2 linked regions of the Nothobranchius furzeri genome follow. The protein of the gene in region 1 binds, or shares a complex with, the protein of each later gene. Links are inferred from orthologs where the notes say so. Each region holds a gene or a part of one and is shown in the gene's direction. Other genes may lie near its edges. The genes, in order: dhdds and nus1.

What was found.
Region 2: the proteins of dhdds (region 1) and nus1 are in contact, whole or in part, in a crystal structure (PDB 7PAX), measured with the Homo sapiens proteins. The link is inferred for Nothobranchius furzeri from reciprocal best matches to the Homo sapiens genes DHDDS and NUS1. Residues at the interface, in NP_995583.1 of Homo sapiens: Arg37, Arg38, Glu81, Asn82, Lys84, Arg85, Arg159, His160, Ile162, Ser163, Val166, Arg167, Met169, Ala170, Trp171, Val173, Glu174, Pro180, Ser181, Ile183, Ser184, Glu185, Leu188, His199, Glu209, Val210, Arg211, Leu212, Ser213, Asp214; in NP_612468.1 of Homo sapiens: His137, Gln138, Pro193, Glu194, Lys197, Ala198, Ile200, Val201, Ala204, Gln205, Phe207, Cys208, Gln209, Val211, Ala212, Arg217, Pro218, Thr219, Leu221, Asp222, Val223, Leu226, Asp237, Pro246, Val247, Asp248, Ser249, Thr250, Leu251, Gly252.

The regions. Positions count from the first base shown.
Region 1 is NC_091745.1:69,203,993-69,213,477, forward strand, and holds the start of dhdds (dehydrodolichyl diphosphate synthase complex subunit DHDDS), read left to right. Parts: upstream 1-3,748; 5' UTR 3,749-3,886; intron 3,887-4,100; 5' UTR 4,101-4,126; coding exon 4,127-4,189; intron 4,190-7,482; coding exon 7,483-7,599; intron 7,600-7,677; coding exon 7,678-7,820; intron 7,821-9,485. Other genes in the region: ago1 (protein argonaute-1), read right to left, coding at 2,108-2,132. UniProt on the Homo sapiens protein: With NUS1, forms the dehydrodolichyl diphosphate synthase (DDS) complex, an essential component of the dolichol monophosphate (Dol-P) biosynthetic machinery.
Region 2 is NC_091743.1:91,670,842-91,679,575, reverse strand, and holds the end of nus1 (dehydrodolichyl diphosphate synthase complex subunit nus1), read left to right. Parts: intron 1-3,544; coding exon 3,545-3,644; intron 3,645-5,104; coding exon 5,105-5,195; 3' UTR 5,196-5,848; downstream 5,849-8,734. UniProt on the Homo sapiens protein: With DHDDS, forms the dehydrodolichyl diphosphate synthase (DDS) complex, an essential component of the dolichol monophosphate (Dol-P) biosynthetic machinery.

The DNA.
Region 1 (9,485 bases):
ACAAAGACCCCAGCTGCCCCGCTCCTCCGTCTCACACACAGAAACACACGGCTGTACGACAGAGGGAGTGCCCTTGCTACGATGAACGCACTCATACACACAAACGCCAGAGCCCCCCCTCCCTCTACATTCCCAGCCTCACCATGGAGACACCACGGCAACACAGTATTGTCATGGATATAAGGGGATCTGTGCGAGTGTGTGTGAAGCGGTGTGAAGGTGCATGGCCGCTGTAGATGGGAGGAGGCAGGGTGCCACTGTGGTCATGCTGGAGAGACCTTGGCCTGTGTGGCCCCGCACTGAGCGCGATCACAAACCAGAAGGAAGAGCCACTTAAGAGAGTCCTAAACTGGTAAAGTTTTGTTTCAAACAGTTGGTGATGTAATCTCACACCACTCAACTCAACATCTGTTAAACCTCCAGGAAGAGTAACGGTCAGAAACCTAATAAAAAAAGATGCTCTGCTGCGTGTTTTAGTCTGTATGTAGAATCACACATCTGATAAAGTCCATAAACACAGATACAAGACATGTGGCGACTGTACACTAGAGGATGCATGAGTGCGAACACGCCAGTGTGTTGTGATTGTTGCACACTCGCGCACAAAGACGCACGCTTCTCCCTCGTGCCAGTGAAGGCAGATGGTGAGAAGTGGAGCCAGCGCTCTCACATATCCCAACACAATGGAGTTCTCTCCCAGGCGGTAAGAATTAAAACTGGAGCATCACAACTTGAAATCTCTCACTACTACATGTCTTTAAACCCAATTCCAAGAAAAACTGCTTAAAAACGGGTTTAGATTGAGTTTAGTTTCATTTGTTTTCAGACAGCTGGTAAAGATTTCCACTTAAATATTTTATTTTCAGTTTATTCTACAATCTAAAACATACAGATGTTTCTTAATCTGACCTCATAATGGAATGAGGTGAAAGTAAAGGGTGGTTTGTCCAACTTAAGGTGTTTTAAAGTGCAAAAATAAATAATTGGATAAATATTGGTCGTTGGGGTACTGGAAAAACAATTCGCTTGTTTTATAAAGTAAACTAATAAGAAAAACTAATGGTCCACCACTTCTTTGACCAGATTATTTGCGTCTTGGCAGTTGACCCTGAAGCAAACATGTTGGATCGATTTTTAAAAACGCATTGAATAGTAGCACTTTAAACACAAAAGCAGTTTAAAACGAGGGGGCCCCCATGGGCCCTTCCCCCTTCCCAAAGAAAATCCCCTGAAAATAGACCCATCACCTAACTTTAATGTTCAATATCAAGTCTATCATTAAGGTGATCATAAATCTGCTTTGAGGTTATGAACAGACAGTTAAATTAAGCAATTAGTTTATTTTATAAAGAAAGTGCTCAGATCACACTTTACATAGATTAGGATTAAGACTGTTTATATTTACCCCTAAAAGGTGAACTTCAGACCTGACACACACACACGCGCACACACACAGTTTTGAACTGATTTGCTCGATTCCACGACTCTTATGTCAATAAGAAAAATCTAAATATAGATCTTTAGCTGCCATCAAATGCATCCATGCAGGATAAAAAACAAAACTTAAAGTGGGAGGCTTCTGCTCCTTTTCGTCTAAAACTCAAATCTAACCCAGATATAACACTTTATTGACCTTGGATGTGCAATTTTACACGATCAGCCTGGGGCTGTCTTTAATGCTGCATGTGACGTGTTGATGTTACAAGCTGGTCCTACTGGCTGAGGATCCAGCAGTGAGAGGGAGGCTGTGTGGGGCATGCGGGGAGCAGCCAGCTGCTGCTGCGGCTTGAAGGCGGGCTTCACCTCGTCCCTCCTCACAGAGATTCCCACGACCTCACTGCCCCCGCACATGGCCGAGGATATTGTCAGCACCCTAATAAGCCTCGTCTGTGGTTATGAACCAGGAAAATAATTGTTTTATATAAACTGTTAGGCATGTAGATAGCTAGAGCCCCTTTTCATCGAACGGTGCAACGGAAGAGGCTGACTACAAGGCTTCCTCCACTTCCCCCTGACGCTCCGATTTTCCGACTGAAATGTGAAGCTGCAATCGGGTGTTTGCAGTGATCACTTGAAATTACTATAAAAAATAAATAAATACACCTACCAGCGCCAGACGGTCCCGGCTCCATCCCATTCACTTAGCCGCGCTGTACAAGCTAGCTACTCCGGGGTGCTGTGGCCAAACCGCCGGCCCCTTCAGGCTGGAGGCGTCTCAGACTTCCAGCCCCCTCCTCTCGGCCTGTAGTCTTCACCCTCCTCGGTGTACCCCCGCCCCCTGCCCCTTACCAGATCCCCCCCAGACCCGGAGAGGACTTGAGGCTAACGGCTGATTTGCCCGTTGACCCCGGAGCTGCTAACGGTGGAGCTGGAGGGAGATAGCGTCTTAATTCCAGCCGCTTTTCTCCAACCGCGCAGCGTGGCTTCCTCCGTGATTTGGCCGATTGTCCGCGGTGCTGTGATTTGTCGTCCGTGTGATGCTCCTGCCCACGGTTCAAGCAGGATTCTCCAGCGGAACAAAAAAGGCCAGCCCCTCACCCCCCAAAAATCTAAAACTTCTTCACCGCCATTTAAAAAAGTGCAAACGAACTGTTGATGAAGTTACTGTCACACCCTAGCGGCGGAGAGCGGAACTACACTGCAGCTATTCGAAAAAGTAAAAGGCTCAAAGTTTAGTGGAAACGTGAACTAATTTAGTTTGTTGGTGTAATGCTGGCATTATCTTAACAGCACCATTTATTTAAAAAATCATAATAAATAAATACTAAAAGTAGTCTAATATATACTAAATATTTGTACTGTTTGCTTTTTTAGAGAAAAATAAAACAAAAACAATACTTCAAGGAACTACATTTCAAAAACATTTTTAAAAAATCAAGGTGCAAAAGTTATGTAACAAGCTTGTATATTTTGATTAAACTTCAGTACGGTCCCTTTATACATACCTGATACATGATCATGTCTGGGAATATTCCTAAAAAGGCAACAGATTGTGTGAAGTATTTCTTTCCAGATCTGGACTTTGCTGGAACTTTGACTCTGAGTCTGAGATGCAACCTGGCAGCAATGGATGATATCCTAGAGGCCACAGGTGTCTAGGCCAGGTGTGCATGGGGGTCAGTTAACAGGAAAAAGTGCAAATGTTTACCACGTTGCACGGCATGACAGGAATTGTCATGCACCATGAAGAGCATAAACCCCACTGACTGCACCAGTGTAGAATCTGGCAATGGGTCCCAGCAAAATGAATGAGCAGCAAGAATGCTACATTAGCAGGACAGTATTTAATTGACTGCTAATCTAACTGACCTAAGATTATACATAGAGTAAAGAAAGTAGTATAGGGAATAATTTCTGATCTACATTAATTCTTACCTAAAACTACTCCTACAGATTAGAATGATTGTAAAACTAAAACTACTAAACTAGCAAGGCTGCATTCATTTTTGAAAAAGTTCAGGACACCAGTGGTGCCAATGCAAATTTTAGCCAATTCTGGTGACCTTTAATAAATGCAAATGAAGCTCTACTGTGCCTGTAAGTGAAAACAGGACATTTTGGAGGGTCTATGACTCTCAAACTATCATTCAGTCCATTTCTGATTTAGTTTAAGACCCAACGTTATACTTGTTATGCTTCTTATCTTCATTCTTTGATTTTATCTTGTACAAATTCCGCGTCCATCCCCATGTTTTATAAATCTAATAACGGCTGACAGGAAGTCGTCATCGTGCGCATGCGTTGTTTCGCTCCAGTCAGGAAGTGGTCGTCATCGAAAGAGCTGTGAGTTGGAAGGTGTAAAGAAATGTGAGGAAAATCGTCGTAGCCGTGGCAGAACGACTCGTTCTTCGTGGGTTTGAATGAAAGACGCAGTTTTCCACCGACGGTGAGTGTTTTCTAGATAAATATAGTACAGACTTGTGCTGGTTTTCAGCCTCACAGCAGGTCAGTTGGAGCCAGTTCTCTGGTTGAAATCAATCACTGGCTGCACGATGAAATTTAATACAGCACACGATATGGAAATAATCGGCAATAACCAGTTCTGCAGCTCAAGGTGAATCATATACGGTTCACTTCTTAAAACTGTGTTTAATTTACAGGATTTCAGAGCGTTTGAAACCGGAAAATGTCGTGGATAAAAGAAGGTGAATTAAATCTGATTGAAAGGATTTCTGCCAACATCCTAAAGGTAAGAATAAGCTTCTGTTCATTTTAAAACGACTCTTATTGTGTGTCTGTTGTTAGCATTTCAATCAGCTTCAAACTCTACTCATCACCACCCTGTTCTGCGGGTATTACTGTGTATAATCCTCAGAAGGAGCACCGAGATCCGGAAAGTACTTGTAAGGTAGTATTTTATTATGTGTGGGAAAATAAATCAGGAGTAACAAAAACGAGTTGTAATAACTTCTCGTTTGGCATAATGGATCTTACTGGCATTGTTGGGGTACGTTTTAAGCGTATTAATTAAAATTGAAGATTTTCTTTATAGTTTATTATTCTCTGAAGTATTACTGCTGTGCAGTTGACTTAAATCCTAAAGCATGTGACCTCTTAAACCATTCTTGGCATGAAATCAATGTAGAGTGGGAACATGATGTGGCTTTGCACAAATAATGATGCCTTTCTATTGATCTGGAGAAAACTGATAAGATAATGTTATAATTTTATAAAATAACACCTAGTTTTAGCCTTTTTAAACATAACACTCCTCTCTGAAGCATTCATTTGCATATCTTATTATAGTTATACATGCATATTATTGGCTTGGCTGTTGCACACACTTGTGGCATAATTCTTGTGCATTTACTTATTGCAGATTGTTCATGTTGTAACATAATATTTTGCAATTACAGTCCCAAAGGTCTATTTGAACAGTCTGAAATGGTCAAAACTATGCCAGATTACTTGCAGCCACTTGGGGGGACTTAGGAAAAGTATTTCCTGTCTTGCTTCACACAAACCATCAGTTGTTGGAACGTAAAAACATTTAGAACATTTTATTTTAAATGAATCTAAACAAGCATAGAAAAAAAACATAACAAAACAGGGTTTGCAAGCAAAAACAAAACAGTTTTTTTAATTTATCTTTGAATTCGCTCAATCTTGTGTTGCATTTTTCCCATTTCTCCCCAAATGAGTCCTCCTTTATCTAATCTTGTAGATTAATTTCTCCATTTCTTTTATTTCCTGTATTATTTCTCCCATTGCATCTGTGTACAAGCATCTACCTTTGCAAATCTGCAAAACAAGCTTAAAACATTTGTTGTCATTTGTTGGATTACTTGTGTATTAATTGTCCTGGGTCACTTTGCTCCAGGGTTCAATCTGACCTTTAATAAACTAATTAAAAATAGCTGGAATTGCCTTGATCTCATTCTGCAGTCACTTATATGAATATCAGGCACATACACTACATATTTCTCTATTCATATACCGTCAGTAGAGGTGCTGAAAAAAATTGATTCAAGTCTGAATCAGGATTCTTATTTATAAAGATTCAGAATCGAGAATCGATTCTAAGAACTCAAATATTTGGCATGTTACAGGTTTGAGATGCACTTTTTTGATCTTTGTTAGGAGAGTCAGTACTCTGTTTACTTTTGTGGTTCCATAAATTGAGATGATTTATGTTTGAATCTGCTGATAAGAGGGCGCTTGAATGTAATTTTTTCCATACTCAGAAATTTGAGATATTCTCATATTTATTTTCTAAGTTGATAAATGAGTACTCAGGATTACTCATGTGACTTGTTTCTACACATACTTAAGTATTTGACTGTATTACTTTCAAAGCTACCGTTAGGTAACTACAGATTTGTTATACTTTACAAGGTAAGCAAAAATAATTGTTGCCTTTTGGTCAAAAGATTGCTTCTGTTTACAGTTTTAGAATCACTTTATTTTACATTGTAAATTTGCATTTTTGGAGCAAGACCAGTTTAAAGTCAAATAAAAAATGCCCCATAGCTTTAACTAACTTGTACAACAAAGTAGTTCATCCTGGAGCTGACACTCTTTGTTAATACTGATTGTGAATCGATTTAAATTGAGAATCGAGAATAGATTCTGAATCGAATCGGCACCCCCAAGAATGAGAATCGGAATCAAATCGTGAGTTGCTCTAAGATTCACATCCCTAACCGTCAGCATGACAGTCGTGCTGGACACAAAGTCATTTGGTTACTAATCCAATCAGGGATTGCCTAGATGACGGAGGCTGAATTGCCCCCACAGGGGTATATTAGATAATGCCAACAATGTGGAGGGACTCTTTTGGAAACTTCCAAAGAGCCATGAATTCCTTTATTTGTGCTATTTTCTCAGCTTTTTTTTTTAAATAAAAACCAGGATAAAATTGAATCAACCTCGTTTTTGTTGAAGCATTTCTGTGTTAAAGTTAAAGCGAGTAGCCAAAGTTCAAATAGCTCAAAACCTTTGAGTGTCTCTCCAGTGTTGAAAGAAGAACCACACTCATGTATTTAGCAACAGAACACCACTGGTGTGATGGGTTCTCTGCTCAACAATACCAGAGAAGGAGAAATGGCCAGCTGCTACCACTTTAGGACAAGCTATCAGAGTCCTAAAAAGAAATACACCATTTGAAGTCACAGACAACGAAAGACATTTGGATGTAGAAAATGGTGACTGGTGTTCAGCTCTCTCTCTCGTTTACTGTGACGATGTGTGTTCCAGTATCATGCAGACGTGGCCTAGGGTTGATGGGTGGCGGAGGGGTAAGAGTTCCGTGTTTGTGTTTAAAATCTAGCTTGTTTTGCAGCTTCAAGCCATTTTTTGTGATAGTTTTCATCCCGGCAGTAAGCAGGATTTTAATCTGTATATATAATATATATAATCTATTGGTCCCTTCTGTGTACCGTTCCATGCATGTATCGTAGGTACAAGTCTTTACATGTTGATGCTGGTACCTACTATCTGGTGTAATGTTTTTACTATTCTAAAAGACATGAGTGTGATCTGGGTTTGTGTGGCCACAGCTGATCTATCTTTATAAAGATTCAAATTTGGTTCTTTTCCATTCTTGTGAATGTCTTGTATTAAGGTCTTTGAACAAGGGTTCCCACGTGTCTCTGGAAGTTCTTCATCCAGCTCTGTTTCCCATTTGACCTCAGGACTGTAAGATACGGTGACATGTTGTATCTGGTGTAGCAGATTATTCAGACACACCGGTGCGGTAATATTACGCCGATTTGCCGGCACTGTGTGTCTTGCAAAGACGACTAGAAAGAGGAAGCGTCATATGAGACACTGATGCCAGGCCGGACCGCCCTTTCCACAGACACAGGTGTCCAACTTTTAACAAAAGCTGGTACCTTTTCATTTTTTGTCTCTTAAAAAAAAGTGTTCCCTCATTATGTCAAGGCAGACATGCTTAGGTTTTCTTTGCACTTTTATGGTTGTGAAAGTTATTGTTTACCTGTTTAGCTCTACTCTAATCTCTTTTGATGCCATCTCTCCCAGACAGGACCCATGCCTAAACATGTGGCCTTCATCATGGACGGTAATCGACGTTTTGCACGCAAGAAAAACCTGGAACGCCAAGAAGGCCATATGCAAGGATTCAACAAGCTCGCAGAGGTCAATTTTCATTAGTCTCACTACGCAAATGTCCTCGCATATCAATTCCATCATGTTTAACCCTCCTCCTTACACCAGACGTTACGTTGGTGCAAGCACCTCAACATCCCAGAGGTGACGGTGTATGCCTTCAGCATCGAGAACTTCAAGCGCACTAAGGAAGAGGTGGATGGGCTGATGGAGCTGGCCAAGCAGAAGTTTGAGAGGCTGTTGGAGGAACGGTGAGTTTGACTCAACTTTTCCACTTTACTGTTTGTTGCACAACAGCCATTTTATTCATCCCGTGATTCACGGCTTCCTTGAAGCTAACTTTAAGCCCGGCTGTGTGGTTAGAGTAAACACGTGTCTCTTTATAACCCAGAATGCTGTTTCAGTTTGAGCACCCTTCAGAAAAGTGCGAAGTAGGGATTTTTCATTTGGATCAGCTGCTTGTCGGTGACAGAGGATTTTTCCCTTACTTCTGCTTTTTATTACTAAACTGATGCTGATTGGATGTTAATGTTGTTGAACTTAAAAGTATCTTAAAGCAGCATTCATGAGTTTGCCCCCTTCAGAAATTACTGTGTTATATATATATATATATATATATATATATATATATATATATATATATATATATATATATATATATATATATATATATATTATAATTTTTTTTTTACATTGTTCTTTGATATAATGTAGAACAGAATAGAATTCAACTTTATTGTCATTGCACATGTACAGGTACAGGGCAACGAAATGCAGTTTGCATCCATCCAGAAGTGCTTTAGCCGTGATATAGATGTATTACAATTAGGGCTGGGGGTAAACGATTATTTTTAAAACGATTATTCTGACGATTATTTTATCGAATAGTCGACTATTCTAATGACTATTTAGAAAATTAATCTAATGATTATTTTTCTATTGCACAATTAACAAAAACCAGAAAATCTCAAATAAATTCCTCAAAAAAAATTGATAAATTCTTACTGTAAGAGAATAAACACTACAGGCCTTCCATTTTGTATAACACTGCTTTTATTGTGTTGGTTGGTTATGTTCTGGTGACGTGTAGAACTTGGGAGTGCAGGCTGCTGCCTGAGAGGTGGTAGAAGATGGAGTGTCTCCATGCTGCTTTGTTTTGGTCACTTATGTGCGTGAGGCGAGTGGTCTTACGGGTTAAACCAAACTCAGGTGATATTTTACAGTAAACCGAAAACCCACAACACTCTAAATGTAATAAAAGGGAGATCTACACCACAAAAAAGATGAACTCTAAACCAAAACGTAACAGCTTATCCCAACGCAAGAAGCTGTTAGCGAATATGCTAACAGTAGCTTTACCAACATTAAGTTCAAGTTACCAAGTTTAAATAAACCGAAAACACCCAGCAGCAAACAGACCAGCACGGAGGAGAGACTGCTACTACCAAAACAGCTCTCCTAATGTCTGAAAGAAGCTCCTTTATGAAGGGAGAAGCGCTCCCGGTGATTTTCTACATCTGCGATAGACACGAAGCAGCGCATCTGACCCCGGAAGTTGTTGTCCGTTGCCGGGAGACGAAGGGGCAAAACAGGAAAATAATCTAGTAGTGGACGGACGTTGTTCCGGGTCTTCGGTATTTGGCGGAGATGTTAGTGAAGGCGGAGAAGAGGGCGAACTAGAGGAAAAACGGGCAGATTCCTCCTCTATTTACAAACTCCTGGGGATGCAACAAGTGGGCGCGGTGCGTCGACTTCCGGATCTGACGTCGACAAATTTTTAGAATCGAGCCGTCGACTTCGTCGAGGCTTCGCTACAGCCCTAATTACAATATATATTAGCAATAATATAGATGTGTAAGTATATTACAGAAATGGATCTATTACGTATGTTATAATGTACACGATATGAAGTATGT
Region 2 (8,734 bases), on another chromosome or scaffold:
ATCCAGCCCACCGCCTCCTGCTGCTGGTGTTATCAGCAAGAATAAAACACACATCTTAAATATTATTGGAAGTTTAGGATTTTTTTTTGTTTTATTTTCTGTGTCAAACAGAACTTGATTCATTCTCCAACACTTCAGAACCGAACCACCGGGTTCAAGTAAATAACAAACATTTGGTGTTATTTCTGACAGCCTGGAGCTGCGGCATCAGTACCTGGCTCTACAGCTGCTCAGACATCATTATGGGTTTTATAACTTCAGTCTAAGGCCAGAACTGGACGTGTCCCGTAGCTTTCTAGTATTTATTTAGATTCGTGAGCATTTGCATGTTTTTCTCAGCCTGAGGAAACAGATTTTTACTTTGTTAAATCTTCGAACATGTTTTGTCCTGAGGACTGTTGTGAATGGAGGCAGGTTGTGTCAGACAAGTTTTCATTTAAAAAAGCAATTATCTGACATTATCGATGAACAAACATCCATGTGAAGTCATCGTGATGCATCAGGATATCGAATCGAATTGTGAGACAAGTGAAGATTCGCATCTGTAGTTATTACCGAGTTAATCCTGTGTTATTACTGCGCTAAACCCGGGTACTAGCCGTGTTTCCATTGCCGGAACTTCAGGATCGATTCTGGGACAGAGAAATTGACTGGGACATAAAATGTTCCGGTTCTCCCTGCTGTTGTGTCTCCATTCAGTCCTTCCAGGACGTCAGCGTATCTGAACTGCTTTGGCAGTGAGCCATGTCACTGATCAGCGCCACAAAGCATTACAAGTTTAATGTAACTGCATCCATTCAGAGGAAGAGAGCAGCTGTGTGATGTCCAATGTGGCGTTCAATGACCATAAAAATCTGTTTTTTACAGCGCTCTGTGAGACCACAAAGCCCCGTGAATGACGTCATCATGGGGGAATTCCTCCCTTTTTCCCGTGTTGGGAGTTTAGTAACAGCAGTTTTAATCAATCAAAGCTTTATTTATAAAGCGCCCTCTGCAACCCTGTCGGGAAGCCCAAGGTGCTGAACATTCAATTCAAGTTTATTTATAAAGCGCCAAATCACGACAAGAGTCGTCTCAAGGACCTTCACATAATAAACATTCCAATTCACAGTTCATTAAGCCAATCAGAAATAATGTTTCCTATATAAGGAACCCAGCAATCCTCATACTAAGCAAGCATGCAGCGACAGTGGAGAGGAAAACTCCTTTTTAACAGGAAGAAACCTCCAGAGAATCCTGGCTCAGTATAAGCAGCCATCCTCCACGACTCACTGGGGATGGAGAAGACAGAGCAGACACACACGCACGCGCACACACACACGCACGCACACACACACACACACACATGCACGCACGCGCACGTAGTGTTTCTATGGTTATATTGTGATTTCTTAGTAAATATTCTATTAGGTGAGAGATAAACTTTATTGTATTTATCCTAGTGGATCTATAATTAAACGGATAAACTAGTAGTAGCACATCCAACGTCAAAGAAAGCAAAAAGTGTTTTTCTCCCCAGAAGAAGCTACAACGATGTTCTGCTGAGCTGTGGTGGTCTCATGGAGGGGGCCATCGGCTAGCACACTGCTGCTAACCACTTAAACATTCTCCTTCTCCTGATAATAACTTTTTGCTCCAAGTGCCCACCCTGATCAGGTACTGAGAAAGTCCCTGAAAATGGCCGTTTGGCCGGCCTGGTCCAGGGGAGACGGGCTCACGCCGGAACTTCCTGTAAATTTAGCCTAAAGTTCTGTTAATGGAAGCACACCTACTGGGTTAAACTTTGGTTTAGGGCTGGGCAGTAAGTCCAAAATTCATCGTTATTGAAATTTCTGACGCTTATCGAGATAATTTCTCCCGTATCAATAAATTAGATAGGTTGGCAACATTCATGTCCCTTTAAGAAGCTGTACCACCAGTACGAGTGACAGCCCCATCTAGTGGACAACTGTTGTCTCTGTGCATAGCTGTAGTTATCGTCCACTTATCGCTATTGTAGAACTGGCTGGCTGGTCAAACTTTAGCGTTGTTGTTTATGCTCTTTTATGAAAGAGGAACCATTCTACATGTTAATTTGTGATATTAATTTTATTAAATTAATAACCAAATTGTATAGTTTTAAGAAGACTCAAAGGTTGTTTTCATCGATAAACTGTCGATAATATCTGTGTGTCTGTGTTTCAATTCAATAAAGAAAACAAGTTCGACAATTCAAAGTTTTAATTCTTCAAATTAAACTAATGATTTTGAAATTGACAAACAGGAAATAACAATCAACATTGGCAACTTTGTGGGACAATCTTTAACAGTTGATATGCTGTTCTTGCTCAAATAGACCTTCTGTTGGAGGTGCTGAAGGTTGAGAGTGATATGATGTGATTATGGATGCGTGTGTGTGCAAAGTGTAGTGAGAATTGAACATGAGGTGAGATGGATGCGTGTGTGCATCTGATTTTGCTTCAGGAAGAAACAGGTGTCTGGGTGAAAAGTGATGGTTTGAATAAACTTAGGTTTAGTTGGAAAAGATGCATCAAAACGCTATCTGTTGTGTTCTGCCTCACCGAAAATCGGACTCCCTGTTGGATCCGGGACGCCAGAGGATGTTCATCCAGGTGACACCAGCGGCTGGCAGAGGAGACGGAGGTGTCCGCGGCCCGGTCCAGAGATGCCCTCGGTACACGTCGATGCAAAAGCGTTTTGTCGATGCGTTTGTTAAGTTTAGTTCACTCAGAAATCAAAAGACTCGGTAAAGAGTCTGCGTTAGAAGTTGCGATTCAGCTATTCTGCCTGGCTTGGCAGGAACAGCGTGGGGGGGGGGGGGGGGAACTAGCCGACCGGCTCTGTCCCCCCTTTAGCGTTTATTCAGGTCCTCTTTCTTTCGTTGTCAAGCACGAACTGAAATCATAAGACTGAAACTTACCAAAAGCCTTTCTCTTCTCAAAGCAAACGTGTGCGTCAGCAAATGTGTTTTGGAGTTTACTGTGAGAATCTGTGTGTGGGTGTGTGTGAGTGTGTGTGTGAAGGTCGGTAACAAACATCCTCAAACATTGTCTAAGTATGGATTCATTAATCCATTATAATTACCCAAAGCATAAGAATCATTCATTTGATTAAACACATTTATAATGAGCAAAATGATAATGATTATTTTAACATTAAAATCAAGAAACAAAGTTTTAAGACTTGTTATGTCATGACTACTTTTCCATGAGAACTCCTTCTTCTGGTACTGCAGGTGTTCAGATGTTATGGTTTCCAGCAGACTTCATGTCTGCAAAGGTCACAATCTGTGGGTGAAAGTTCTCAGCGACCCAGCCGAGTCAAATGACCTTTTGCACAGAAAACCCATATTTCCTCACGTTACACTATCGAGGTGAACTCCTCTATGTGGTGGTATTGGTTTTAGGCCGTATCGCCCGGCCCCAGCGTTGTTAATCCTGTTATTACTGGGATGAACTTCTAGGTTATTAAGAGCTTAAACACGCCATGTTTCTGTTGGCTTAAGACATACGTTTCGCTGACATGTGTGTTTTGTTTTTTCCAGAGTCGAAGAACATTCCGGACCCTGAGCTGGTGGTGAAGTTTGGCCCAGTCAACAGCACGTTGGGGTTCCTCCCCTGGCACATCAGACTCACTGAATTCATGTGAGCTCCCGTCTGACTCTCCGTCTCCTTGTTGCCTTTATTGCTTCATAACTTCAGGATTACGTCTGTCTATCCAGACATTTAGACATGAGCAGCTTCTTACTGTACATGAAACATAAACACAGAACCTTTCTGCTCCTCATCTTCACGGGGAAGTCTCCTTTTGGGTTGTCATGATGGTGAAGCAGCTGTGCTAACATGTGTGATCCAGGTGAACCTTCAGGTGTAGCACATCGACATAAATATACGGACAATGGGTTTCCATAGGCTCCAGTAACAAGTTTTTGTACTAAAATGGGAGGTGGCCACCACCGCCATTTTGACCGTGTCACAGGTTCCGTCAAGCCCAGACAATTCCATAAAAGGAAGAGAGGAGGAGCTGAGGGTGGGGCTGTAAGGCTGGGATCAACCGACGACACCCGGTCGAACTAGCTACAAGCTAACCTGAAGCTAACCCAAAGCTAACGCAGAGGTGGGAGCTAAGCTAACGGAGGTAGCAACCTAGCTACAACCGGAGTTAACTGTGCACAACACCAGAGCTTCTGAGTCAGAGATACGCCGGGCTGACCGCTGGGTAAAACCGGGTGGAACACAGAGGTCTCGGAGAGCTCCACAAGCCGATAGTGGGAACCCAGCTCCACCAACATGTTCTATTTCAACCCATTTTCTAAAGTGCAGCATTATGTTAAATGCACTGGGTTTTACCCTATCATATTTAAATTTCATGGTTAAACAGTACATGTTAAAATCTAAGCTCAGCTCGGCAGTGACCTAAAATACATAAATATAATTTTACTTACCGAAAAAAATCAAGTGGAGACTCCTTGGACGCTCTATTAGTGCAATTAATGCCACAGCAAGTCATTTTGTCCAACAATTGCACAAATAATATCCAAAAAAGAATACACACACACAGAGACTCAAAATGGCGGAACAGTTTCCAGGCCAGACCGAGGCTCTACTGAGGCCTTTCCACGGAGCTAGCTCTGTGGTCACGTGGGTCTGATGCTCATTAATTATACAGAATTTTAGGCTTTTAATACACTTAAACAGAAGAGTGAGAAAAACATTCACCCCCCTCAGAGTTGTCATGAGTGTAAACTAGATCATTTAAACCAAAAACATGTTCTGGTACCAGGCTGTAAACATGTTTATTTCTGCTGTGAAATTGGTATTTTTAACATGGGAGTCAATGAGGATTTGCTCGCTTCTGACACCAGCCCCTAGTGGATGAGGGTGGAACTGCAATTTATTTCACTTCCGGGTTTGACTCAATTTCAGAGTTGCATTGTGGGGGCCTGGTGTAGCAGGAAGCTGCTGTCAGATCACATCTGAAGGTTTAAACCAGCTAACTTCAGTCGGAGTGTTGCTTGTTTAGGATAATAAAACTGTTTGCCTGCAGGTGGCAGCGTTGAGCTGCGATGGTTCCAGTTTAAAGTTTGTTCCCTGCTTGTCTCTAGCTCCCTGCCATCCCACAGAAACGTCTCCTATGAGGACCTTTTGGGCGTCCTGCAGCGGTACAGCTCCTGTCAGCAGAGGCTGGGACAGTGATGGAGGTTCGGACTCCCCTCATCGCGCTTCTGATCCGTTTCAGCGCTGCCTCCAGGATAACTTGGAGATCTGGGCCTGCTCTTAGAATAAATTCATTCCAAGGATTTCTGGACACAAACCATAGACCGGCTCACTCTGACACGAGGCCCTCCTGTCTCTCATCATCCACCGGCAGCAGCTCCAGAGGATTACGTCTGTCTCAGGGACAGAATTTTTCTGAGCACACGCATTCAGGTGTTGTCAGACGGTTGTTCTCCTCTGTTCAACTCAAGGTGTGAAATAAAGTGCTGATCATCCAGTGACATTACCACAGAGTAAACAAGAGTCAAGTAAATAAGACCAGCCGGGTTCTCTTAATGTTAAAGAGCGAAGGTCGATGATCACAACAGAAGCTGCAGCTGCACCGCTCTTTCAAGTATTCCCAGAAAACCTGAATAATTCAAAGCTATAAAGTGTGTGTGTGTGTGTGTGTGTGTTACTGAGGTTGTGAGTGCTTTAATTCATCCAGTGTTGTCCAGACTTTAGTAGATTTGAGCCTAAATCTCTAAGCTGATGGTGGGTTAGGGTTAGCCACTAAATTACCTTTATGTTTGATAAAAATGGCAAAAATGACCTTGTGAACTAGGCACATTAAACTATTTTAATCAAAGGAACATTTGTTTGTTTTAAAGAATCCGTGCATCTTTGTACTTCTAATACACAAAAGGCTCTCGTGTGTTTGAGTTCAAAAACTAAAAACCAAAATCAGAGTCTGCTAGGATGTTATGAAGTTACCTGAGATTTAAAACTATAAAGCTTTAATAAAACCTGCATGGTGGCGCAGTGGTTAGCACTGTTGCCTCGCAGCACGAAGGTCGCAGGTTCAAAAAACTCGCCTTTCTGCGTGGAGTTGCGTGTTCTCCCCATGCATGCGTGGGTTTCCTCCGGGTACTCCGGTTTCCCCCACAGATCACAACATGCCCTATAGGTTATAAACTGTAAGTCGCTTTGGATAAAAGCGTCTGTTAAATAAACATAAACATAAAACCAACACCCCTCTACATCAGTCAGAGAAGCTTTAGTTTGCTTCCAGAACCAGCATCTTCTCTGAGGTACCATACTACAGAACCCTCCCACAGGTGTGGGCCATCGATTACAAACAACATTTGTTCATTTTCACACTAAAGTGATTTTCCTAACAGATCCATTCAAGTCCATGTTGCATACATGAGTACACCCCAGATGTAATCTTAGGAGGAAAGACTCAAGACTACAAATTCAAATGAACAGGTGTTCAACCACAGGTGAGTCTAATGGTTCATCTAAGATGTGTCCAGCAGACAGGTGACTATAAAAGGGCGTTACTTCACTAGCCCCTCCCATTTCATGCTGTCAGCAACGGCTCCACATGGAAGAGAAATGTCAACATCTGAGACAGGAAATCATTTCTTTACACAAAAAGGTGAGGGCCAGCAGAAGATCAGCAAAGCTTCACGTCAGTCACAATACTGCAGCAACGGTGATCCAAACATATAAGAAGGATGGAAGAGCAACCAGCTTACAGAGACGTCCAGGCCGTCCACAGAAGTTCACATCTGGACAGGAACGTCTTCTGATGAGAGGAGTTGAAGAAAGTCACCATGTAAGTTCACCGCAGTTAGCTAAAGCAGGAGAAAGCCCAACTGGACCGTTTCCTGTGACATCATACGGCACACGTGCAGAGGAATGGCATGCAAGGGGATCGTCCACAAAGGAAGCTTCTCCTGAGGCCCATGCACAAACAGCACACCTGGGGTTATCTAGGGCCCACGCTGGAACAGATGAAGACTACTGGGAGTCTGGAGGGATGAGACAAAGATCACTGTTTTTGGAACTAATGCTTTCAAAACCGTATGGCGTCGTGAAGATGAGGATTTCAAAGAAATGCATGGTGCCTACAGTAAAGCATGGTGGTGGCAGTGTCCTTATGTGGGCTGCACGAGTTATAAACTCAACAATGTGATACACTGAAGGAGAAGATGCACTTGGTCGTCGTGCACTTTTCCAACACGACAACGATCCAAACACACGTCTAAAGCTACGGCTGCGTCTCTGAAGAAGAACGGGGAAGCCAAGTGTGTCTCCTGGTCTCTCCCGGAGCAAGGTGAGCATCACCCTCCATCCAGTTGGTGGCGGTAATGGCCTTACCCCCAGCAAGAAGAAGAAACCACTTCTTCCTGTTTACGTTCCAAAGATGACGTCACGTGGATAGCGAATGGTTTCGAAACTTAAACGCGTGAAAACGTCTGAGAAACGGACATTCTTGGTCTATAAGCTGGATCCAGACTTCTCCGGGGGTCGCTGCGTGTGTGATCATCCGGCAGAGAGGAGACATCTAGTCTGAAGGCTTTTATCTGAGCCCCAGAGAGAGCTAGCACACCGGGCTGCTAACCAGAAGCTAGTTAGCTGACGTGTTAGCAGCTGGTTGAAGAACACGTCCTCGTTAACGAGCAGCATGGAGAACAAATACAACCTGAAGAGCCCAGGTGAGACAGCCCTGATGTTCTTCAGCCTTCATGCACACCTAGACCACCTTCATCAGTCAGGACTAGCATAAAACACCTGGCAGTGACCCAGTCACATCAAAGGTCACAGGTCATCGTCTGCGTTTCCCAGCAGCAGCCCAACATGACCAGTCGGTCTGCTGGTGCTAGTGTGGATGTTTCTGAACAGGCACGGGTCGTTCTACAGAGGCGGGGTTCGGGTGAGAGCCCTGCACCGCATATGTGACTTCTGCAGTGATGGCACCAAGCTGAACTACATCTGTGTGCTGTTCTCCTTTGCTCTGAGGCAGGAGCTCACCTGTACGAGGAGGTGGAGCCTGTGTGGACTGCAGATGTTAGATGTGCCTACATCCAGTGCTGTCATCATAAAACCAGGTTGTATTATTGATCTGGCACCGCCCAACCCCGACAAACTCCACACGTGAAAAAGAGGCAACGAGACAAAACCCGAGCAAACACGGTGGCTGGGTTGTTTCTCACGCTTTGGTCCGACCTGGGCCGGTATCCAGCAGGTTTTGTGGTTTCTCTGCTCCAACACACTTGATTCAGAGGTTGAATCACCTGTGCAGCAGCTCATCAGGCTCTGCAGAAGCCTGTTAATCACCTGCTGATTGAATCCAGGTGTGTTGAAGGAGGGTTAAAACTAAAACCTGCTGGATACCGGCCCTCCAGGACCAGGATTGGGCACCCCTCATCAGGCTTTCCGCCACATCAGTGGAGTCCAAACAGCTGGTTAAATATGTGAAATTAAAACATGTCCCCATGGGTTTGGTTTCAGATGACCACAGAACCAGTAGAATCAGTTAAACAGTTAGCATGCTCTTATTTTGTCATGCCCTCTGAATTACGCACTTCCTTCCTGTTGAAGAACTCAAGAGTCCTGTGAAGGTGGCAGAACGAAGGCAAAACACTGGTGCTGTAGCGTGTGTGTCAGAAAACACACCACCTTCCAGTGTGAGCCCCACAGGCTCTGTGGCATCCATTGATGTTTTTCAGCACATTTTCCAAGCATCAGTG